Linked DNA regions of Lytechinus pictus. The protein of the gene in region 1 purifies or fractionates together with the protein of each later gene. This does not show direct contact. Links are inferred from orthologs where the notes say so. Each region holds a gene or a part of one and is shown on either strand. Other genes may lie near its edges.

Region 1 (13,201 bases):
CAGTGGCCCAGGGTGTTATTCTGAGGTCATTTCATCTTTTAAAATATTTCATCTATTCAATTGTGCTGAGATGACATTTTATCTCTGCGATTAAAATATGAAATTGATCTGCGATCATGTTATCATCTTGCAAATCAAAAGACGATATACGAGAGAGCAGTGCTTGCGTAGATATATCGCTAACCATTGCAACACAAATGATGGGCTTGCGTCAATGATACTTTGAAGAAAAGATAATATGATGAAGTAAACGTAAAATAGGATGGGGCTATTTTATCTCTGTTACGCCCATTCTAGCAATATTTCTAGGTGAATTAGCTCCATATATGCTTCTTAACAAAAATAAAGGTAAATGATGTCTGATTGAGAGTGATACCTGAACATTATTCCTATAGAATGAGGAATTATTTCCATTAGACCTTTCTTCATATTGTCTATGTCTGATGCGATATCAACTTCTAAAACAAGATTTTAAAAAGATTGTTCATTGTTTCAAAGGAATCCCTGTAAAGACTTGTTTAGCATATAGTACAAACGCATTTGAATTGAATAAACTGACGCAATTTCACTCCTATGAAAGTTATACCACACCTCTTGGCATGAAGGATTTTGATTGAATGAATGGAACGAGTATGGTGTTGTGACCTTAATTCACAATTTATCTTAGTTTATATTAATATAATAATAATAATAATAGCTGTATTTAAAAAGGCCTTTTTTGCCTGAGGATACAAAGCGCTGCTATTATTACCCCGGCTTTAGCTCGAGCTACCATCACCGGCGCTCCGTGCGTTCAAGGAAATAATCCTGCCGGGTACCCATTCACCTCACCTGGGTCGCGCGCAGCACTGTGTGGATACATTTCTTGCTGAAGGAAAACACGTCATGGCTAGGATTTAATCAATATCTTGAAAAAATGATATCACTAACAGGAAAAGCGACCCAAATTTTACTCAGTACATGTAACTTTGAAGTTAAAGATAAAATCTGCACTTGTGAAATACCTTTTGGGTACGTTCTGAAATAACCGAAGTTCACAGCAAGCATTAAGAAATTGCCAGTTTGCAAGCAGAGGTCTAAAAAAAGTAAGTTAAATGTCATCTACCAACCGATTTTATTGTTTTTTAACCTCCATCTGATACAATTTTACCCTTGTTTGCTTGACGTGACTTGATTTTTTTAAGCTTTGCATAACTATTGACTCGTGCGTAAGGTCACACTTTTTTATGACAGTTTTAAGCTGAGCGCACATTAGTCGATCGCCAAAGAATTTTGAGATTGCGATACTAGCGAAACCCTAGCTTGACCTACTTTATAATTCCGTCTTTGTTGAGCGATTTTGGCCTTTACTTTAGCTTGGTATTTATTTTAGTTGATTTTGTGTGACCTGTGAGAATTTTTTTATTACAAATCAACTGCATGATAATTTTTGAATGTGCACAAATTTACATGGTAACCAAACCACCCAAGGGTTCATTACATGCCACCGCGCACAGAAAAATCAAGCCATAGATAGGTACGCTACTCTAGCGCGAGAGGGCGCGATTTTCGCGTCATCATTTTCGCGTACGAAAATGGCGACAAGCTGCTTCGGGAGCCGGTGCGAGCAATAACGGCAAGCCCTACTTGAGTCTCCTGTCTAGGATGGTAAACGTATATCAATGGGAATGAAAACGATGACATCATCTTCCCAATGCATTCAGCTATACTGCACGGTAAGCTCTTGCGACGGAGGGTCGAGATCGTCGAGATCGGAACAAAAATTGCACTAAAACAGTCTGTAAGTACAGTTTATGCATCAAATCATCATTATATGTTATTTTCATGGAATTATCAGACATATTACGCTAAAAATACATATGCTACTCGAAAATTGAAGTCGTAAGCTTTCATTTCTTACCCCGGGGGGGCCACTTACATTGACGAGTGGATACCATGCGCGACCAAAAAAACACGTAAAAAGGATGTCTTTTTCACGATAGGGCACGTTACGTACGTAACGTGATAAGGGTGTCAAAAACACAAAAATAATGAAAAAAGGGTATCTATTTCGCTAGGAAAATTACGTGTTTAGGGTCGAATTCGCGGGGATGATAAAACAAAATTAAATGTTTTATAAAGGATGTCCTTTTTGCCCCAACACTTCGTGTTTAGAGTCCGATTTGCGCGAGGTGTAGAAGGTGGGGTCGTACTAAACCAAATAAGGTAAAGTCGACGACCGAAGGACCCGTAACAATAAAACATTCCTGTACTTGTTTAGGGGTTCATTTCAGGGAACATTTGCCAAGAGTATCATTTTGTTACCAATACTTGTTAAGGGTAGGGTTTCACACGCCAATACTTGTTAAGGGGTGCATTTTCAGAACATGGAAAATACGTGTTTAGGGTGCTTTTCGAGACCCCGTGGTCGCGCATGGTATCCACTCGTGAATGGAAGTGGCCCCCCCGGGTTTCTTACCTCATTCATGGCAGCATTTCTTGCCACCATTTGCCACGGACGAATGTTAAACGCCCTTGCTATTTGTTTCGTGGGATTTTCGTGGGAATTTTGGCGACGCGTTTCGCGGGCTAATTTATGGCGGCTGCTAGGGTTTTTGGTTGCCCGCGGTGTGTAGTCCTGCGCATTGGAATTTGTGTAGCAGACCGTCTACCGTGATATGTCTGGTATTTCTTTGATTTAAAAAAACTTTTTCTTTTTTATAAATTAGGAATTGAAAACCAGACACAAATGTAGAAATCAGAAATACATCCCACACTGACACACATTCATTTTGATTGAATAAAATATTGAAAAAAAATGGCAAATGACGCAACAACTTTCTGAATCTTCTCGAACCTAATTTTAGCCTTTAGTTTACTTTAGGTAATTTACTTTAGTCTTGATTTATTATTTGATGATTATATTCTGTTGAAAATTCATGTAACATGATTTCTTTTGGCCTAATCAAACTTAAATTTTTTATTATTTTAAAAATGAATGGCCTAGATCTAATTTAATTCATTATCATTTTAATTTTCTTTTGTTTTCATATTTTTATTTTCATTCAGATTAATTTCTTACCTCCATTTGAGCATGGCAATACTTACTGATCTGAAGTCGAGGGGCCCAACAATGAACAGACTTGGGCTGCATGAGCCGTCGAATATCTGTGGTTCCAAGAAAGTGTGATGGAAATGCCGCCTTAAAAAAACCAACCCCACCTCTGCCTCTGGGCTTTGTTCTTGGCGATCCTGCATTCCATTCAGACTGCAACTTTAAGCAGGAATTGTTCTACCAACTACTTAATTATTCACAAATGTGAATTGCAGCTTTTAAATTGACAAGAAAGAAACAATTGATTTATCTCACCCCCCCCCCAACTGTCTTCTAACATTTTCTATCACCCCAAACTAACACTTTTTTTCTTGGTTGTCTGTTTAAATATTTTTATTTAGACTTTATGTAATTTTTTCATGATTTATTTAAGAAGTATGAGCAAAAAAACAAACAATTTGGCACATGCAGTAGAGAAGAGAAGGAACATAGTGTTGAAAAAGGATACACATACAGATCTGAATATTAAAATAAATTTAAAAAAGAAATGACAAATCCACACTGACACATGAAAGTATTCATTTTATTTTTTTTCCTTGTTGGCATTGGTTACATTAATTAACTCCACATAAAAATATAAATTGGATATTTTAACAGTATTAATGAAGTTGCTCAATAAAATTTAAAATTAGGTATTCTCATTGGAGGTAATGGTTGATACAGATGGGTGGGTGGACCTGCAGCCACTAGCGTACCTATGGGGGGGGGGGCAGACTGCCCCCCCGACGAGTCACAACCCATGCAAGGGACGTATCCCTGCCCTCCCCCCCTGATGAGCCACCGGTGGCCCCCTCCTTTGAAGTTTAAGACCGAAAGTACGAAATCCTTTATTTGTGGTTGAAGACTTTTTTGCTTGTCAAATTTTTGGGCGGACGATTTTGCCCCCCCCCCCCTGTGGAAAATCCTAGGTACGCTACTGCCTGCAGCTCTATTGTTTTATTAGATTTTCATTTTTTATTGCTGGGGGGGGGGTATTATGTAGAGCTGAAGCCAAATGATCTTATGAGGCAAGATTCAGTGTACAGCTCAATATGATGCATGTAAAGTGATTTATTAAACTTTTGAAATATCAATTAAGAACTGGAATGATGAATGATATGAATATAAGAAATATATTAAATGCATGTAAAGTGATTTATTAAACTTTTGAAATATCAATTAAGAACTGGAATGATGAATGTTATGAATATAAGAAATCTATTATATGCTAGTTCATCACAACTTTAGCTGGATCTTGCTGCAGAAAGTGCATCGTGTAGTTCTACAAATATCTCGGGTGAGAGGCAGTTTGGCAGAGCGGATGCAATGCTTCATAGGGCCCCTAACATTTCTGTGGTAAGGTCGAATCCAAACTGATGTTTTCATCAAATGATACAGCCTCCTGGCTACAAAAATTTCCTGTAGATGAAAGAGAAAACAAAATAATGAATGCAATGAAATTGGGAAAAAAGTGAGGCTAGAGGAGCAAAAACAAAAGCAAATGGTTGTAAAGTTAGTACAGGAGAGGAACAAAATGAGAAGAAAGGAACTCACAGAAAAGGAAACAAAACAGAGAGGCAAACTTGAGACTAGCTCCTTTAAAAAAAAGTTCTGTATGGTGTACTATGGATCTGTAAAAATATTTTAAAATTATGTAAAGTTTCAAGGATTGAGCATGCATAGGAAATCACGTAAAGGCAAGGATATCAAGTAACGAATAAAAACAAAAAATGAGAGGGGGGGAATGGGAATTACATCACCCCCCCCCCCACCCCGCCTCTCCAAAAAAAAAAAAAAACGACTTTAATAACTTGTCAAAACTATCTAGTATCAGCTTATGTTATTATCCTTTTTAATGTTATTGTTAGGGATCGAGAGAAAGGATGAACGCGGGGGGGGGGGGTGCATTTTTCGGATTCATACTTTCAGGCATCAGTGTACTGAAGGGGAACATTTAACATAGGACTACAAAAAATTGCGGTGGACAGACAAGAAACAAAAAATGATGATTAAAATGAAAGAAAAAATTCTCGATCTCAAAACAACTTGAAAAAAGAAAGATGCAAAACCAAATGTTATCAACTCACTTACATATTATATTTGAAATCCATCCCAATGGTCTTCCATGTCGTAATTGTGCACTGTAATTCAGATAATCTAGTTAAAACATGTGAAATTAACTTCAAGTCTCAAATCAATCGTCTTGCACACTGTTTGCAAAACAACAAAATACTCCGATATATGCGTATCATGAACGCACATGCATATTTATGAGCGCCGCGAAAATGACCAATCTCATTCACAAATGATGCGCACTTACGCTTCGTCACCATGCCGCGAGAAGCGTTTATGCGCGATGTAAAATCTCCGCCCCGAATTGGCAATCCCCGAATGCGCATGCGCGGTGGTGATTGATACTCGATGGTCGACAATTCGTTCGGAATGGATAATACTTAGAAATCATTTCTTTAAAAAATCATAACTTGAGTTATTCTTCATCATATGTCTTAATCAATGCATCATCGTAATGGGTGACACATTTTTTTTATGTTGAGGTAAGTTTCAACAGATTTGGATGAAGATTTGAATTATCAGTGGCGTACCTACCATAGAAGTCGTGTGTTGTGGACCCAAGAAGTGAGATCCCAGCACGCGCGACCCACTACTAGTTAGAAATCCACTGCCAGACGCGGTTCATGGTGCGACTGCGAGGTTAGTAATAGTATACTAATCTACTAACCTCGCAATACATGTGAGTGAACCAAACTACATGTAAAAAGTTAATGTTAGGACCTTGTCTTACTCACTCTCATTACTACTAGTGAAGTCTATTCTAATTATTTCTATTAATTATTAAAGAAAAAGATTATTATTAAAGAAAAAGATATAAAAATTAAAAATGGTTCTCAGAATACCAATTAAATTTGAAGAGATTTTAAGCATTGAGAGCAATTTATCTCACTGATTTAACAGAGATACATATTTAATTTTATCTGAGATAAAATAGATCTCAGAATACCACCCCCGTCTCTCCTCTACACTGCACTGCACTGTTGCCGTGTCGTTGCGTTGGGCACTGTGAGAGTGAGAGGAGAGAGCGATTCGTACCTGCTCTTTCACGGAGGCTCGCAGGGGCGCGAGCACAGTTTCGATGTCTACCTCCCCGTCCACTTGACCGGCCATAGCAGCTGATTTCTTTATGTCTTTTAGGCGATCAACAAGAGATTCTGCCTTCCTAGATGAGTTCCTACTACTCAAAGAGGGATAGCAACTTGCAGCACACAATTCAAAGTGTTTTGGGGAGAAACCTCGCGAAAAACTCGCCAAAGGAAACAAACGACGGAAGCCGCAACTCAGCATCACCGGTATGCCACATGGACATCATCAATGGGAGATTTAAATTGACCTTTGACCGTGAGAATATTTAGAGTGAATTCGCAGACGGTGTAATGTCAGAAGTAAAAATCAATTCTTAGAAAAAAGCTTCTAAACAACTACAATATCAAACGTGACATTTTATTTTAACTTTAAAATCATTTTACGAAGGAAATAAATATAAGAACACTGTGTTTTGCTCCAGACGATTGGGAGATCGCTTGAAAGTACTATACTGGGGTCTGAACTTATAAACTATCAAACGAAAGAGTGATGACACTTCGTACATATCATTGTACCTCTACTGTTTGTACGAGCTAGCGAAACGAGCGCTAGGCTAGACAAAAAGCTTGCATATTGGATGGTAAAATGTCAGAAATTGTTAAATAAATCCACAGAAATGATGGTCATTCCGGCATGCCGGTCATTCCTGTCTAACATCGAGCTTGCGAGACTGGGGACAAATTCTGAAATGAATTAGTGGACAAAAACCATTTTCTCCCCTTCTTCGATCTGTTAATTGTGTCAATCCTGAAAAATCTTGCAAAACCCTATTCCTCTTTCTAAATATCGTTTAGTCAAAATGTTTTAAAAAAATAACAGGGCCTAGAATAGAAATAATTGTCTCTTCTCATATAGTTCCTATTATCCGAGCTTCCCATGTTTTAGTTTGTTTCCTTTTTGTTTTTCATCCCTCTCAACCAACTCTTCTTGTAATTCTCTCTCCATCTTATTTCCTTCCGCCGATTACTCTCCCGCCAATACCCGATCTCTCTCCCTTTCTATCCCGGGTTACCTCTCTACACCATTTACCTATAGATCAATCAGTCCACTTTTTCACTACAATCTCTCTTTCTACATCACCCACCCCCTTCTCTATTTATCTAGCTCTATATACCCATCCCACTATAGTCCTTCACCACCTAGATCCCTTTCTACTAAACTTCCTCTCTGTCTCATTCTTTACCCAACCCCTTTGTGTCTGTTCCCTTCTTCCCACAATCCACCTCCTTTCTTCTCCCCTCTCTCTATTTAAAGTCTAATTACCCCACTTCTTTCTCCCTTCATATTCAATCTCTCTCATCAAGTTTTTTGGTCCCTAGTGCACCTGCTACCACAATTTCCCTCGATAATCCTTCATTTCTCTATTAGCTGGGCCCATAATAATTGGATTTATATGGCGCTTTTTAAAGAGGATACAAAGCGTTGTTGATGGCATAAGACAAGTTAAGGTTTATTGTTATATAAGTGTGTTTTGAGATGTTTTTTGAAGAGGTCATCAAGAGAAGAGAGGTTTCGGAGAGATGGAGGGAGTACATGAAGTAAAAGAAGTCGCATGTCTTTGGACCACAGATCTATTCGATTGAGCCAAAATTTGACATATTGATAGTGCTACAGTCACATATCCCCTACGGCGGCCGTATGACAATTAAGTCGAAAACAGCCGTTCTATTTATTTTTATTCAAACCAACTATATGTAGCTGGAACAAAAATGTTACCGTTTTTTTACTTGCTGTACGGCCACCGTAAAGCAAATGTGACTGAGGTATAAGCACTATAATCAAGGGATGCGGGGGGGGGGGGGGCATTAAGTGTGCAAACATTGGCTTGCCCCATCCCTCCTATAATAAATAAAGGTGATATACCAAACAGTAGATTATATCATGTTACTCACAGCTCAAAATGTGAAAACTCTCTTGAGAAACAAGTGGAATGCCTCTGGCCGTCTCACCTGCATCACGCGATTCAATATAGCAGCAGTGCTGATTTTGAAAACTACTATAACTCGCACAAGATGTTCAGTGATACTTGGTTACTCTTATTTCCACGTTTTATGAACTAGACCAATACACTTATAGAGATATGATGGCAATTCAACAAATACCCCCAACGTGGCCAAAGTTCTTTGACCTTACATGACCTTTGACCTTGATCATGTGACCTGAAACTCGCACAGGATGTTCAGTGATACTTGATTACTATTATGTCCAAGTTTTATGAACTAGACCAACACACTTTCAAATTTATGGCTGTAATTCAACAAATACCCCAATTTGGCCAAAGTTCATTGACCCTAAATGACCTTTGACCTTGATCATGTGACCTGAAACTTGCACAGGATGTTCAGTAATACTTGATTACTATTATGTCCAAGTTTCATGAATCAGATCCATAAACTTTCAAAGTTATGATGGTAATTCGACAGATACCCCCAATTCGGCCAAAGTTCATTGACCCTAAATGACCTTTGACCTTGGTCATGTGACGTGAAACTCATGCAGGATGTTCAGTGATACTTGATTAACCTTATGTATAAGTTTCATGAACTAGGTCCATATATTTTCTAAGTTATGATGACATTTCAAAAACTTAACCTTAGGTTAAGATTTTGATGTTGATTCCCCCAACATGGTCTAAGCTCATTGACCCTAAATGACCTTTGACCTTGGTCATGTGACATGAAACTCAGGCAGGATGTTCAGTAATACTTGATTAACCTTATGGCCAAGTTTCATGAACTAGGTCCATATACTTTCTAAGTTATGCTGTCATTTCAAAAACTTAACCTCAGGTTAAGATTTGGTGTTGACGCCGCCGCCGCCGTCGGAAAAGCGGCGCCTATAGTCTCACTCTGCTATGCAGGTGAGACAAAAAATAAAATAAAAATGAAATCTGTGATCATCACCATAAACTTGATTTTAATATCTCTGTGTACCACAAGTACAAAATGCTCTTAATCTGGAGATGCTATATATATACATATTGTACACTTTATCACAGTTTACATACAGATGTGTACACTTTTTTTTTCAATTCCATATCCACTTTTTTTCTAATAAAACCTTTTTCTTCAGTATGTGCATAATTTATTTACATACAACAGTTTTATAAAATCCTTAACTCAAGTCAACAATAAGAAAACATAGCAAGTTTTTAATCTCAACTGATGATGTTCAACTTGCTTTACATAATTTAACTAATTGGGAATCAACACTTTCAATAACATGAAGATAATTCCTCATGCTGTCAGCATAAAAAAAATTGTTGAATAGTTGGTGTTAACATAGAGACATGAACTGCAATTTGAAGGGGGGGGGGGATAAGGAAATATCATCTTGCCTCTTACATTTGTTGAGCTCCATTTCAATAAACACTTTATTACAGGTAGTTTCAGGCTGCTGTTTTAAGCTACTGAAAAGGAATCAATTCGATTGGTCAAGAGCAAAATTGCTAGATTCTCTTGTGTTTGGAATTGAGAAAAGGTTCTATGAAACAGGGCTTATTTGTGATACCTTTTCTCCTCTAAAAATAAAATTAAAAATCCATGTGTTTGCAGCATTTTATATTTTGATAAGGTCGCTTTTCCCTTTCAGTAACAATTGATGTTTTACAACAGCCTAGATGAAATTATCATCTATAATGTCCATTTATTACAGATTATTCTTAGATTAACTTTTTTTACACCTTAAAGGAGAATGAAACCCTTGAAACCAGCTGAATCCATATCAAAGAGAAAAATCAAAGGAACACATTGTTGAAAGTTTGAGGAAGATTGAATGAATAATAAGAAAATTATGAGCATTTGAATATTGAGATCACTAGTGCCATGTAGATCCTCCCATCGGCAATGCGACCAAGATCTGTGATATCACACACGTACAACTCCCTCATTACTTTAGTACTTATTTCACTTATATTCTCACTTTTATAGAGTCTATCACAAGGTGAGGTGTTCTCTTTATGAGATGACAAGTACAGAGGTTTCACAACATTATATCATTGATGAATCGTTTGTCATATGATTAGAATGAGCAAAAAGAAATGTTTTGGGGTATATTTTCAGTGTCAAAATGGGAGAGTTGTACGTGTGTGACATCACAGATCTTGGTCGCATTGCCAATGGGAGGATCTCCATAGCATTAGTGATCTCGACATTCAAATGCTCATAACTCTTTTATTGCTCGTCCTATTTTACTCAAACTTTTGTTGATCTTATTTTTTTATTTTTCTGCTTTCACAAAAGCTAACTTGCTCCAAGAGTTTCATTCTCCTTTAAGTACAGGGAATATCCACCCCAGCAAGAACATGATTTGAATAGAAAGAGAAAAATCAAACTCCCTGAAATTTCATCAAAATCTGGTATAAGTTAAAGGTTTGCTTTTATTTCGCAAAACATTTATATGCACATCATGGTCAATGTGTAAATGAGGAAAACTACTCTTTCTTTTGTTTTTTACATGAAATATAAATTCTCCTCATAATGTGAAACAGGATTTGATTCCTTGAATAAGTGGGATCCCTAATGTGATTCATGAAGATATTTACTTTTTCTATCTGCAAAAATGACATACTCTATATTTCATATAATAAAATAGAAACATTGACTGACATGATTGACTCTCATTGCACATCCCTTGATGAAATTTGTTGGATTTTTCTCCTTTTTTTCAAGTCAACTTTTTGTTGGGGTGGATTGTCCTTTATTAAATTGGAAAAGGTGAATGTAGAATTTTACAATGAATCTCAATATGAGAACATTCCGTTATCCTTTCTTGTGTGTGCCAGGTTATGGTATACAGTGGTCAACTGAAAGTATAAAACTTCCCCATGTAAAAGACATGTACACATACATTAACAGAACTAGAAACTATATAACAATCACAATAATGTCCTATTTTCTAAGGGTAGCCACTTCAGCTCTTATGAACTGTTCTCCCAGTGAACCTTGCATAACAGTTATGTATTTTTTTACCCTTATCCATTCATAAACTCATTCCCCCCCCCAAAAAAAAAAAAAAGAAATATAAATTGATAGGCATAAGCCCATATTCTGAACTCTGGGTTAACTTAAACCGCAGTCTAATGTTAAATCTCTGGTTTAGCTATGGAAGGCCAAATGTGACAATTTCTATTATCAGACGATCAATATATCATCACATTTGGCATTTAAATTGAAAAAAAAAGAAGATTTCTTGAAATGATAACTACAATAGACTTTTTCATCATGAAACCATGGGAAGTATCCTAGTAAACACATTAAGCACTAAATTTTAAATATTTTTTTTACACTCATAGCTTCCCATAATTGTACACTAGGCTTTGACCATGGTTTAACCCTATCTAGGCCGGGGGGGGGGGGGGGGGGGGGGGGGCCTCCGAGGCCCCCCCTCAACGAGTGGCGCGATATTTTCGCCGCGCTGCTCACTGACTTTTTACTTTCAAGTCTTGCGCAACTTTTGAGACCAATTTTGCGTCACCCGGGTACGAAATTACGCAACGTTATGTAGGTGCATGTCAGACCAAAAATTGCTCAAAAACGTGATTTCGTGTACAAAGTCAATGTAAATTGTGTTTTCAACCAAAAATCATAAATGTATGATTATTTTTAGTTTTGCTGGTCTAAATGTATTTTATGCTTTTTATGATCTTAGAAGAGTCCCCAACTAATTTCATTGAAAAAACACTGAAAAACAAAGAAATAAATAAGAAATTCATAAAACAATAAAATACATAGGAAATTGATTTCCAAACCGAAGTTTTTTTCAATTGCCATTGTTAAGAATGCTATAAAGAATATTTTTACAAAAAATTAGCATTCTAGGAGCTTTATTTAGTGAATTAGAGCAAAAAGTATGATTTATGCATAAATTAGCATAATTAATTCATATAAAATGAAATCTCATTATTTTGGAAAATTTTACATATCAACCCCCCCCTGAGATCTCGGCCGCCGATCGCGCGAGCGCCGCAATAATTTGCACGCTGGTAGTGTGCGATGTAATTTACAAGGTTGTATTGTAAAATTTTCCCCCCGGCCACAGAACAGCCAAAAAAGCCCGGCCTAGTTAGGGTTAAGTTTAATAAATCAGGGTTAAGAATATGGGTCATAGAATATAATGCACTCTTTGTACGGGTGATATTTTCAACTCTCTAGTTACAATACTGGGAGGAAAGCTGTACTCTAAGGGAAGTTGTACTTAAGTGAGTCTTCATTTAAGTCCTGGGTCCAGTTTCATAAAGCTTGATTTATCAACACATTTTCAATAACAGTGAAAAGCTACTGAAATCCTTAAATCTGATTGGCTGATAGTAAACTTGTTGTAGAATGGGGCAGTATTCATATGAAGTCCTGGGCCCAGTTTCATAAAGATTGATTTATTAACACATTTTCAATAAAAGTTAAAAACTACTGAAATCATTCAATCTGATTGGCTGATAGCAAACTTGTTGGAGAATTGGGCATTTGTTATTATAACGTCTTTGTGAAACTGGACCCTGGTTGGTTTACATTTTCAGCAAGATCCCATATTTCATATTTTGAATCTGAATAGAAAATTTCCTGAAAGAAATATGTGATTCACACAAAATATATGAAAGGTAGCAATTGCTTGGCCTTTACAACATAGAAATCTTCAGCAATCATGTATTTTTAACATACACACTCTATAATGTACTTGTGTTAGTGTCTGAGGTGAACAGCTATTTTGGGAAGACTTTCATTCAGCTTTGCATGTGATATTTCAGAGAAGATCATGTTACAGTAGAGATAGCCGTAAGAAGTATAAAATATCATGAAAAAATATCACATGAACATTATAGGAAAAACTCACACCATTGAGAAGTTGCAGGCGAAATAAATATATTCTTCACCGGGCTTTTAAATCTTTACATGTAAATGCAAAAGTTTAATAACCTGAGGGCAGCTTTTAAAAAGTTGAATTTTAGAAAAAAACGCTGACGGAAGCAAAGCT
Region 2 (12,753 bases), on another chromosome or scaffold:
TGTTCAGGGAGAAATAAAAAATTGTTTCACAGGACAATGAGGAGAAAATTAGAATATTTCATATAATAAAATACAAAAGAAGTAGTGAGTGAGTGATTTCATCAGTTCCCTCATTTGCATACCGACAGAGATGTGCATATAACTGTTTTGTGAAATTAAGCGAAATTTTAAAATGTCATAACTTTCTTATTTTACATCCGATTTTGATGAAATTTTCAGTGTTATGCTTGTTTGATTTTCCTCTTTTTATTCAAATCAAATTTTTGTTGGTGGATTTGTCCTTTGATATTGATAGTGATACCGACAAGTTAGACGATCTGTTGAAACAAAAAATGCAGAGGGCGCTGTACATAAAATTCCAGTCTTTCATATGAAACTTTTTTTTCAAAATGCTTAAGAAACTAAACCAAATTTAAACTTAACAGATGTCAATATTGTAATCGTAAATTTCCTCCAATGAAACACTGATAAAACTATTGATCATTGGTTATTATAGATCTCGATGCTTTCATAAATCTTAATGAAAGAAGTTTTGATAAAATCTTATAGTCACTAAACTCACTATTGAGAAGCGATATTGGGCACCAGTTTTTAGAAGTAACTGATCTTTATCTTTTGATATAACATAGTAATATTACTTGTACGCAAAGGTTGAGGAAGAATATGAAAAGAAAAAGAGAACTCTATTAAATGAATATAGCAAATCTTTATACCATGCCATCATAAAACTCAATGGGTAACCCATCCGAAAAGTTGCTATAGACTCACAGCTAACATGGCATTTCTATTTTATGAAAGGTTAGATATCTGTATAAATCTCTGTCAAGAAAAGTCAAAGTTGAGCATGCATCACATTGATGAAAGTTGAATCATCTTTAAATTGATCATATATAATTTGGGAGTCATTGCAAGTTTACTTAACCAAAGTTTATTATCTTGCAGACCTGGAGGGCCTCCTCCTCCCCCTAGGAGAAGAATGGGAGGATTTGGAGGCAGAGGATCAGGACCAGCTCCACCACCTGCTGCTGGAGGTGGATGAGGAAGGCGAGTAGCATCTTATTTAATGTTTTATAGTCAGAAATGTGATTAGGGCATGGAATGCTACCAATTGTTACGTTAGTGATTGTCTTTTTCTAAATTTGCCCTTAGCTAGTTAGGTGTAAGAATTTCAGGTGTTTCCAAATACTGCGACTGACATTGTTGCCAAATTACTTCATTGAACTCTTCATGTTGTCACTTTTATTGCCCTAGGCCTATCCCTCCATAAAATAATCAAATGAAATACATGTACACCAGTAATTGACACAGACAATCATTTTATTAATTTTGTTTTGTAATACCTGTACCTGGTCTCATCCAGGCCTGAACTCTTCATGTTGTCACTTTTATTGCCCTAGGCCTATCCCTCCATAAAATGATCAAATGAAATACATGTACACCAGTAATTGACACAGACAATCATTTTATTAATTTTGTTTTGTAATACCTGTACCTGGTCTCATCCAGGCCTGAACTCTTCATGTTGTCACTTTTATTGCCCTAGGCCTATCCCTCCATAAAATGATCTAATGAAATACATGTACACCAGTAATTGACACAGACAATCATTTTATTAATTTTGTTTTGTAATACCTGTACCTGGTCTCATCCAGGCCCTGGATGGACTGTTAGCTTACAAGTGATATGCATGTAGAAAAGCAGAAAAGAAAAGCAGTGGGTAAAATAAACTTCACCCAAATGAGACTTGGCAGTTGTTGCACACATTTATCTTGGTTTAAAGACCTTTTCCAAATATGTTGGCTACTTAGTTGCCATTATAATTGCTTGTTACATATGATCCTCAATGGCTTGTACCATCAATCAAGTAACCCGACCACTCGATAATAAGCCCACCTAAATTCCCTAAAGGTTGGGTTCAGTTCACCCAAAGCATTGTGAAAATTATTAGTCAAATTTATGAATGTTTGGGTCCAATTTACCCGATGTTTTATGAAAATTATAATCTGAATATTTAATGGGTCAGGTAAACTGGACCCAACCTTGCAGGAATTTAGGGGGCCTTTTTCTTGAATGGTTGGGTTACGTGATTGCCCGACCCGACACAATAACTCAATGTGATGGTACAAGCCATCATCAATGACCTTTGAACAGTGATATTTCTCATTACATGTTTTAACCGTGTTCAATGGACCTCTGTCATGCAGTTGAATTGAATTCCTCTTCATTTCTTTTCCTTTGCTCACAGGTAAATGCCTACTTCTTCTGCTAGTCACAAGGAGTAGGCCATAGGGTACCACCAGAAACATCAACAGATACAAATTTTTTCCAGATGTTCAGAGAGTCTTCCATTCCTCGATGACTTGTTTCTGCTGTTCTACTTTCTGAAGGTTATTATTGCTTTAGTGTGGGTTTTCCAAACGTTTTATTTCATTTTAAAGCCATTTCTAGATATTTAAATAACAAGGAACTTGAGTTTAGGCCAAGCATGAAAGGTGATAAGCACTTCTTCTCTGATGAATTATGGGGACTGTATTTTATGTAAAACTATGTAAGATAACAAGATATATTTTATGAAGCTTTTGATGTTAGTAATGATCCAGGGGATGATGTTTCATGAATATGCTGTGTCATAAAAAAGAAGATGTTAGTAATAATGATAAAAAAATGAGCTTTACATTTAAATTTGCATAACCATTGCATCCAAGTGCAATACTAGATATATTGGAATTGCTAGATGATAATAACTTTACTTTTTTATCATAAGATGGTTGTTTATGTTCTAGTATTGTTTATCGAAGTAATTTAATTTGTTGATATTTCTGAGTGGTCCACTATTGAATATCTTGCAGTATGTGTATCTGATAATGACGTTAAGCCAGTAAACTCACATTTCTGAGACTAGCTTGACTGAGAAGAAATGGATACATGATATATTATGTACAGTATATCATGATATTTTCTCCAAAGGATATCAATTTGAAGAAAATATCATGTTATTTTTATTTTTTCTTGAAGTATGTGGTTATTTGTGTACATGAATATCAAAGAAATGGGAACAAAACAAGTACAAATTGAATTACTGGTAGTTTGAAACTTTTGAATATCTAAATCCTAAATTATAGGTATATTTGTATGGGATATGGGCGAGGTCTGTGCCCAAGTTTCTCCCTTATATTTATTTTTTTTTTTATTGTAAGGCTTTGCATTAATTTTTGTTCATTCATACTTGTTATATTCATCATGCACTTCAATCTTGACTTAGATTTAATATTTTATTTTGTCATGTTTACTTGTGTTTACAAACAATACTCCCAAAGCAATTAATTGTATTGAGCTGCAGGACATGTATAGATTATTACTTCTCCCATTGTTCCATTTACATGTGAAGTTAACAATTTGTGTTTAATAGTGCCCTATTTTCATCTTAGCCATTGAGATGTTTCTTTGATAATACATTTTTATTTCATCTATTTCATCAATATAATGTAAAGAATGAAAAAGCCCATGATGAAATCATTTCTAATATTGCTGATTTATAAGTGTAATTATGATGATTAAGATTAGGAAGAGGAGGTGGAGGATGATGATGATTCTAATAAATATTTTCATAAATGTTACAGGTGTTTTATTTTTTATCACTTTATCAAAATTTTCATTAAGTTTACCATGTTACAATGTTTGTCAATGTGTTTATTAGATTTTATGAATTTTGCTTGATTAAATGTAATAACTTAATACTGTCCTCAATTTTGTGAAGGTTATTTCTAAGTCTTTTGTTCCTCTTTCCTTCAATGCTTATTTTTTGGCTTGCTTTGGGCTGATGATTATTTGATGATATTGTTCAAATGCATTGTTATATTGTACATACATGTGAATATTAAAACAGATATATTCATTCTGTAACTTATGAATAGAAATAGATATATCAATTATAATCAAGATGTGTCAGTTTATTTGTATGTGGTGTTTGTGCAGCAAAAATCTTTCCATACATAACAAAAGTGCTATCATTTTATCACGTTTAACTCTTGTGATATGTTTACAATCAATGTATTATAATGTAAAATAAATGAGGGAGGGAAAATTAAATGAATTTAAGAGAGAAAACGAACAGTAAGGATGAGAAAATTAGTATGTTTAGTGATGAACTAGAACAATGTCAGGAAATGGGATACTCTTTATTGAAAATGAGAATGAATCAATAACAAATTGGGTTACTTTCTTTATGTCAAGTGTACATTAGGGCGGCATAATATGACCATAATGTTGAAATATTGTGCCATTAAACATCAATGAACAATCATTGTGGTATTGGGTTCATGGGTCCATTCAATAATTTTAACTTAAAATCCGTTTCAGACGAGAAATTGCCTTGAAACGCTAAACATCACAGCCCTTATTCCCACTGCCCTCTGTATTAATCCAATCTAACCCACAAGATTCAAATGGAAAGGGTCAAAGAATACCATCCATAACCAATGTTTTATTCCTCGTCTCCATTCTGTTAGGCTTAGCTGAAAAAATGGTATGTTTGTGAACGTTACTTGACAATGTTTGACACCCATTGATTCATCGGGGATGACGATATATAACAAAATATTGTGCAATTCTAGTTTTCAATAAACCTGCTTTTATCCATTCTTGAATATAGCTCATCATCTTTAAATCTTTAATTTGAAATTGTTGACCTGCGAAAAAGGATTGGCATTCTGTTTTGAGTTCAATGTATAAACATTTAACAGGTTTTTCATGAAGTTAGATCGGCAGGAGACTTGTACATGGAATAGCAAGAGCAGTAATGTTGAGACTTGTGTCAAATGCTTGGAAGGTTGCCAATGCTGCAGCATAATTTACCCAGCCTGATGTTCGTAACATCTGTCTTATACAAACATTCAAATTGAGCCAATGATGGGGGGGGGGGGGGGGGGGGTCCACTGTATACATGAAGGCCTACGACAAACAATGAGTAAAGAGTGTAATTTTTGCCAGTAGAGATGTGAACTTACAACCCTTTTTGTCTCACCTGCATAGCAGAGTGAGACTATAGGCGCCGCTTTTCCGACGGCGGCGTCAACACCAAATCTTAAGTTTTTTAAATGACAGCATAACTTAGAAAGTATATGGACCTGGTTCATGAAACTTGGCCATAAGGTTAATCAAGTATTACTGAACATTCTGCCTGAGTTTCATGTCACATGATCAAGGTCAAAGGTCATTTAGGGTCAATGAACTTGCACCATGTTGGGGAATCAACATTGATCAAAATCTTAACCTAATGTTAAGTTTTTGAAATGTCATCATAACTTAGAAAATATATAGACCTAGTTCATGAAACTTAGACATAAGGTTAATCAAGTATTACTGAACATCCTGCATGAGTTTCACGTCACATGACTAAGGTCAAAGGTCATTTAGGGTCAATGAACTTTGGCCAAATCTGTTGAATTACCATCATAACTTTGAAAGTTTATGGTTCTGATTCATGAAACTTGGACATAATAGTAATCAAGTATCACTGAACATCCTGTGTGCATTTCAGGTCACATGACAAAGGTCAATGAACTTTGGCCGTAATGGGGGTATCTGTTGAATTACCATCATAACTTTGAAAGTTTATGGATCTGACTCATGAAACTTAGACATAAGAGTAATCAAGTATCACTGAACATCCTGTGCGAGTTTCAGGTCACATGACCAAGGTCAAAGGTCAATGGATATTGGCCATGTTGGGGGTATTCATTGAATTACCATCATAACTCTAAGTATATTGGTCTAGTTCATAAAACTTGGACATAAGAGTCTTCAAGTATCACTGAACATCTCATGCGAGTTTCAGGTCACATGACCAAACGTCATTTAAGGTCATTGAACTTCGGCCATTTTAGAGGTAATTATTAGATTGCTGTCATAACTTTCAAAGTTTATAGATATAGTGCATAAAATGTGGATATAGGGGTAATCAATTAAGTATCACTGACAAGTTTTAGGTCACATGATCAAGGTCCAATGTCAATGAACGTTGTATTGTATCATTATATGAATGGTGTTTTTTGTGAATAATTATTTAAATGGTGTTTTTCAAAGTCGGCACTGCTGCTATATTGAATCGCGTGATGCAGGTGAGACCGCCAGAGGCATTCCACTTGTTTTATATAAAAAAATCCGAATACAATTAAGGTATGTTTTTTAACTCATACTCTCTCGAAAATAATGCCACTATATAGTTGATTGCTCTTAGTTCATCTTTTCTGCTGTTTTGGTAATAAATTTCCATGAAAAGGGCCCGTTTCCATGGCTGGGATCACACTTTTACAGAACTGGGTGGTATAATAGTGACAAAAATGGTGATTCAACATGTGGTGGCATTTACATAGTTTCCAGCAAGAAAATTTGGCCCGGGAACTTGGCATGAGATCAGAACTTTGAATTAAGAAGAAAAATGAATTGATGCATTTCATCAAAATAAGGATTTGGGAAGTGGCAAAGGGCAGCTGCTACTTTTCAAGATGATGTAATAGAAGAAAAAAAAATGAGGGTAAGAGAAAATGAAGAATAAAAGTAAAACAAAAAAGTAGGGCCTATATGTTCACAATATCCCCATTCGAGGTGGGGAAGAAGGAAAAGTATGGAAACAAGAGGTAAATATGTGTTGTATAACTATACTATACCCATATGATATTATTCAGTAAAAAAAAACTTTCAGTTTTAGGTCGTCTGGATTTGAATAAAGTGATTTCTGATAAGTATGTTTGACTAAAACAGGGAGGGGGACCCTTGGGCATAATTGCCCCCCCGCCCCCGCCCCCGCCCCCTCCCAAAAAAAAAAAAAAAAAAAAAAAGTTGGCAGCAGCTCGAAACACCACGCTGCACAGAAACGTTGTTAGCCTAACAGACCACTATAGCAGTAAACGGTAAACCCAGTCCCATATTTCGGATTGTGCAGTAAAAACATCTATTTCAATGTGTGAGTAATGGGAGTAATGCATTGATGTAACATTACGCATTGCTGTCACATTGCCGGTTGTAACAGGGCCTCTGTTAGCGAATTGTTAGGGCTATGTTTCTGTGCGGTCAAAAGCAAATTTGGTCAGAGAAAAAATTTTTTCAAGATGTTGCCCGAAAGGCCATATCTCGCCCCCTCAAATGTCATACTTAAAAATATTAGAACCTAGCTTGTCGAAGCAAGCAGGGTTTTTCACATTTCATAAAAACCCGTGAATTCCACAACACAATACATGTATTTTGTAACATTGAAGCTACCATAGATTTAAAGGGCAAAACTGAAGTTACCAATAATGGTATCTGAAAGATGATGAAACCGTGTGAAAATTTGAAGAGAGTGAAAGGTTACTAGTAATTGATTGATCATTTTTTCGTCTGTATGATACTGTACGTTCGAACTATTTGCTGGGCATATGGATAAAAAAAATTAAGCACCGCATCAAGCTATAATTGTCCATTGTAAAATTCATAGTCTCTAACTTCAGACTTAACTTCTGAACGATATAGTAATATATACACACGTGTGTGCTGAGCTGAGTAACCCGAGTTGAACAGCGACCAGCTTTCGAGAGAAAGAGGTGAGTTATTTTCATCCTTATATGAGGTTAATGGAATTTAAAAAACAAATTGTGATTGGTAATATCGGGGTTTCTTGCAAAGATGTAATCAGTAGAAATTGCTTTGAAATGATTTGATAGGATAAAGCAAAGATACTACACTACAAGTGGAAGATCGGACACTTCGGCGATTTTTTGAAACGCTCCCAAACGCCCGAAAAATGCTCCTGAAGAAGGGCGCCCAATATAGCGTTGAGTAAGTAAACCTTCGCATATCGGCACGCGACTGTGTATAAAACATATTGGGGAAAATGAGAGAGGGGAGTTTGGAGAGGGCTCAAGGGTGGCGGATGGGAATATTTCCACGTGATTCTTCTCTTCCTCTTGGAAACAATAGCAATAATCCAATATTGATCTATTCAGAGCATGCGGCAAGATAGACAGGAATAACCGTCGTTTCTGGGGATTTATTCAACAATTTCTGACATTTTACTGTAATCCCCATTTACCGACGGTAGGGTGTACGTGTGGGCTCGCATGTGTTCTCATTCCCTCCCTTTTGTCAATTCACAGTCCAAAGTTTGATGTAATTTTACACATCGAATTTACAATCTAAGGATGTATAAACAACAAACTTAAAATTTAATATTTTAATATTTAAATACTTTAAACGATATAGGCCTAGATGAAAAAGGCATGAAAAATATACTTTACCGATGTTTAATTGGGTTGAACACGATAAAAATTGTCAAAATGGCAGCCAAACTATAAAATATTTACAAACGAACGTCAACAATCACGAATGTGATATCGATATTGCTTTCGATATTATACGATCTGCTCCATATGCGATCGAAACCGAAGATAAACGATACTAGTTATACTAGTACTAGTACTAGTTATAATCGCGACATATCGATTCGAGACATTAAGTTAATAACGATAATGACGTCATTCAAGATGGCAACTTGCAAGAAAAACCGTCAGGTCAGGTGAAAATGTCTTAGATGACAGATTTCTCAATCATCCAGAGGATTTTTTTCAATAACTCCGGCCCAAGGTATGCAATTACTTAAGTTATTTATATTTCCCTGATAATGGAAACCATGAAACTTTCAATTTTGCTTAAAAAACAGTTTTAAATCGCGATCTATAAAACGCTAGTTCACTATACGTTGGCTGTAGGTACGGGGCCCCATCCCCTTCAGTCTATGTATGGTGAGTGGAGCCAACGTAGTTTAGCGGAACAACCAAAATACAGAGACTGAAGCTTTTGGTCTAGCGGCAAGAGCTCCATATGATATGCACCCACTCATTCAGTGAACAAGGACAGGTTATGATATAACTTCTTCTTCTTCTTCTTATGTTGGTTTGAGTGGCAATTAGTCATATTTGACTATTGTCGCCATTGACTTTATCTATAAAATCTCACTTCTCATATTATTACCAATATGATGTATACATATATGAAATATTTTTCTTGTGCATCCTTCTATTATAAAAATGATGAATATAGTATACCGGTCTACAAAAGTTTGTCTTAACTCTTGTCAAAATGGCATATAAACAAATCTTCACCAAAAACAAACCGCTATCTTCAGCCCAGTTCCAACTAGTTGCGCTTGCCCTGCCCTTTCTAAGATGCAATCATACCGGTCAGCACGGTACATTGTGCCGATTTTTCGGACATAAAAATGCCTAGGTCACCCATGCATAGACGAGGGGGCGCTAGTGTGCCTGTGCTTACAGATGGGTTAAACATTAAAATAATTTGTTTCTTTTTTTTTTTAAACAACACCAACAACAACAAGGCGAAAACACTTGTGGGCTTTGTTAGTTATATGTGCAGAACATATCATTTTGTATATATTATATCATACATTATTATGTATATATATATATATATTCTTTTCACATTAGACTTGTACAAGCATATCCTTTCATATTTCTTATAAACAATACAATATAATAATATCACTCCTTACTAAAACTAACAAGGCTCCACATTAACTTTTTTTGGTGGTGGCCCGATATTGGTGGCCCGAAAAATATAAAGAAAAACATTAAAAATTAATAAAACAAACTTCTGAAATATTAATTCTGCAGCCACTACCACTAAGTTACTTTCACTTTATCATCTTGTATGTAAACCTTGTTTGCTGTTATTTTACTTTGCTAATTCATTGGTTTGTGGTAAAATATTAATTGTTTCTATCGTTGTAAAAATGAAATGATTGAAAGAGAATAAATGAATTTTATTGTTCGCAGGTTGTGTGGACTTTTTTTTTATCTCCGTATAGACACACACAGACACACTCATAATGGTAAAGTAAATAAATAGTGCATAGCAAACTCAGATAGATGTACAAAACAATGGTTTTTCATTTCTTCCTCTTTGAATCCTGAAACCTAGATTATGCAGGCCCCAAATCCAGTTTATTTCTGTTTTCTCTTTTGCAGCATATTATAGCAGGAGAAAATCACAGAAAAATATGCTGCAAAATTAGAACAATGCATAAAAGGGGGAAACAAATGAAAATAATTTTCAAAAAGTATATTACAAAAAGAAAACAAAAATAATAAAAGAAATAAGTGAAATAAAACAAAAGAAACAAAATGAAGAAAGAAAAAACAAAGAACAGGGAAAAAAAAAAATTAGAGAGAAAAAAAAAAATGAAAGAAAAATGAATTAAACAAAATTAATATAAACATGGGGAAAAGGGGAAAATTAAGAAGCCATTACGAATGTTTTTTAACAGCTGTGGCAACAGTCTATTCTGACTGGAATATAATTAAAAGCCAAGCAAATAATTTTCACTTACCTTCTGGGAATGGCACATTTCTATTTTTATATCCTTTAGTTTGTATTATTTAATTTTCAGTAGAAACATATTTATTTATCAGGCATATTCAATGGGAAGGGGTATAAATGGTTTAACCACTGTAAAAAAAAATGAAAGAAAAAAAATAAGAAAACGGCAAAAGTTATAAAACTTATATCTGGAAAAAAAGTGTGACTGTGGGAAAAGTCCTTCCCTATATTTGCCAAATTGTTGGAAAAATTCACATTTCATATCGATGAAATGCCTTCCCAAAGTATTTACTTTCTCAAGAGTGGTTTAAGAAGTCATTTATAAACAAGAAAGAAAGAAACTGTCTGTTCATTTTTGGCTAGAAAAGACACAGCTTCGAAAGAAACCAAGTATCAACATACATACAAATGCACATGTGGGACTGTGATGTACTTGCCTATGTGTTTTTATGTGTATTAATTCATTTGGAAATCTGTCTTTTGTAGTCAAAAGAGAGGTCATAATTCCTCTTCTTAATGCTTGCAAATTATCAGGGGCCGATTGCACGAAAGGGTCTTTCCAAGGACCGTCTTTCGTGTCGCCCATCTTTTATGATACGCCATGTGAAACGCATTTCAAATAAATTTTCTGCAAATACATTTTATTTGTCCGTTAAAATAAACAAAATATTTGTTTATAAAATGATCTGATATCGCATGAAATTACATAAAATTTGATTTAAAAGCAAGCTTACGAATTTTATTTGTTTATTATAAATTTCAGAAACACCCCGCTTATAGCGCATCATAAAAGATGGGCGACACGAAAGACGGTCTTTGGAAAGACCCTTTCGTGCAATCGGCCCCAGGGTACACCAAATTTTCGTAATATAGACTGTAGAATGTCATTTCATTGGTGTAAAATGTGACTTTGACTTAGATTTTCAAAGTTCTGTGGAAGATTTCTTAGCAGCAACATTTTTTATTGCAGCTCCCAGAGTCTGAATAGGCTGAGTTAGATCTAGAGCACAGCTGTATGCAGTGGCTTCATGCAAACTCACGCCAGCTGGCCGGCGCGGCTGGCTGGATAATAGCTACTGTATGCTATAGCTGTAGGCCTAATATGCAAACTCTGTGTGTGTGTATTTGTGTGTAGATCAACAAAAAGGGCGCATGACTAACTGGCTTGCAATTTGAACTGTAGAATGTTGATAAATGCGTGCAAAATCAGGAGAAAAATTGCGCTACTTTGAAAATTATTGGTTGCCTGATTCGGGCCACCAAAACTTAACATTTTATCAATAATGGTTGCCCGAAGTGAATTTCTGGTGGCCCCGGGCCACCGCTAATGTCGAGCCTTGGATATAAGTATAATAACCTTTTTCTCAGTACATTGTAGTTACATCTTCATGTGTGGCAATTTTGGCTTATTTTCTCTTTTTCTTTGGGACAAATGCCTTTTTTTTTCTTACACTGTCAGTTTCCAATACAGCTATTCATCATATAACTTGGCTCTTATGTAAATTTGATTCTTTGAATTATATTTTCTTAATTAAAAATAGAGATTGAAAAATGAAAATTTTCTTGCCATATTACTTTCCACCAATAGAGGGCGTACACAAAAATATGCCCAAAATTCAAGTTTTTGAGCGCTCTGGTGAATACAAAAATTATTTTCAAGTTACTAATACAAAATACATTGCAACTGTATGGAAATAAGTAATTTTGGTCACAAAAGTGATATTTTAATGATTTTTTAAAGTGTGTGCTATGTACAGCATTGGCATACCATAGTCCTACCTGTAGTAGTTCCCCCCAGGCAGGATGGTTGCAGTGAACAGGTGTAAGCTTGTAACCGATTTTGCAATCGGCAACCGATTCCATTCGATTTCACCACAATCGGCAATCACTTGCCGATCTTCGATCATGCCCCTTGAAGGAAAAAATCGAAAATAAAAAATCGGCGTAGATCTGGTTACAGTGCGTGATCGCTCAGAACATATTTCAAGATTGTTATTGAGGTGCTAGCTATTTAAAAGGTCGCATTATTCAGGGAGAAAGTCGCGGTATTATCTATGGCAATGTTTAAGGGGATAGATATCTTCTCTTCCAACTCATGGTGATAGCGGATGCCGCCGTGAACTTTGAAAGGTCGTATTACCGACGGAGCTCACTGCGTTACTCTCTTACATCGTTTATGATTATATACATTTTATTTTCAACCTCGTGGTGATAGCGGATGCCGCCGTGAACTTTGAAAGGTCGTATTACCGACGGAGCTCACTGCGCTACTCTCTTACCCCCTTTATAATGATATAAATCTTCTCTTCAACCTCGTGGTGATAGCGGACCCCGCCATTAACTTTTAAAGACTGTACTATTGACGGAGCTTATTGCGTTGCT

Evidence for each region.
Region 2: the proteins of glycine--tRNA ligase-like (region 1) and isoleucine--tRNA ligase, cytoplasmic-like fractionate together in Homo sapiens (co-fractionation; 3 studies listed by BioGRID). This does not show direct contact. The link is inferred for Lytechinus pictus from reciprocal best matches to the Homo sapiens genes GARS1 and IARS1.

Annotation. Positions count from the first base shown.
Region 1 is NC_087257.1:6,195,926-6,209,126, forward strand, and holds the start of glycine--tRNA ligase-like, read right to left. Parts: upstream 6,455-13,201; 5' UTR 6,434-6,454; coding exon 6,182-6,433; intron 1-6,181. UniProt on the Homo sapiens protein: Catalyzes the ATP-dependent ligation of glycine to the 3'-end of its cognate tRNA, via the formation of an aminoacyl-adenylate intermediate (Gly-AMP).
Region 2 is NC_087247.1:36,590,222-36,602,974, reverse strand, and holds the start of isoleucine--tRNA ligase, cytoplasmic-like, read left to right. Parts: upstream 1-7,261; 5' UTR 7,262-7,580; intron 7,581-12,753. UniProt on the Homo sapiens protein: Catalyzes the specific attachment of an amino acid to its cognate tRNA in a 2 step reaction: the amino acid (AA) is first activated by ATP to form AA-AMP and then transferred to the acceptor end of the tRNA.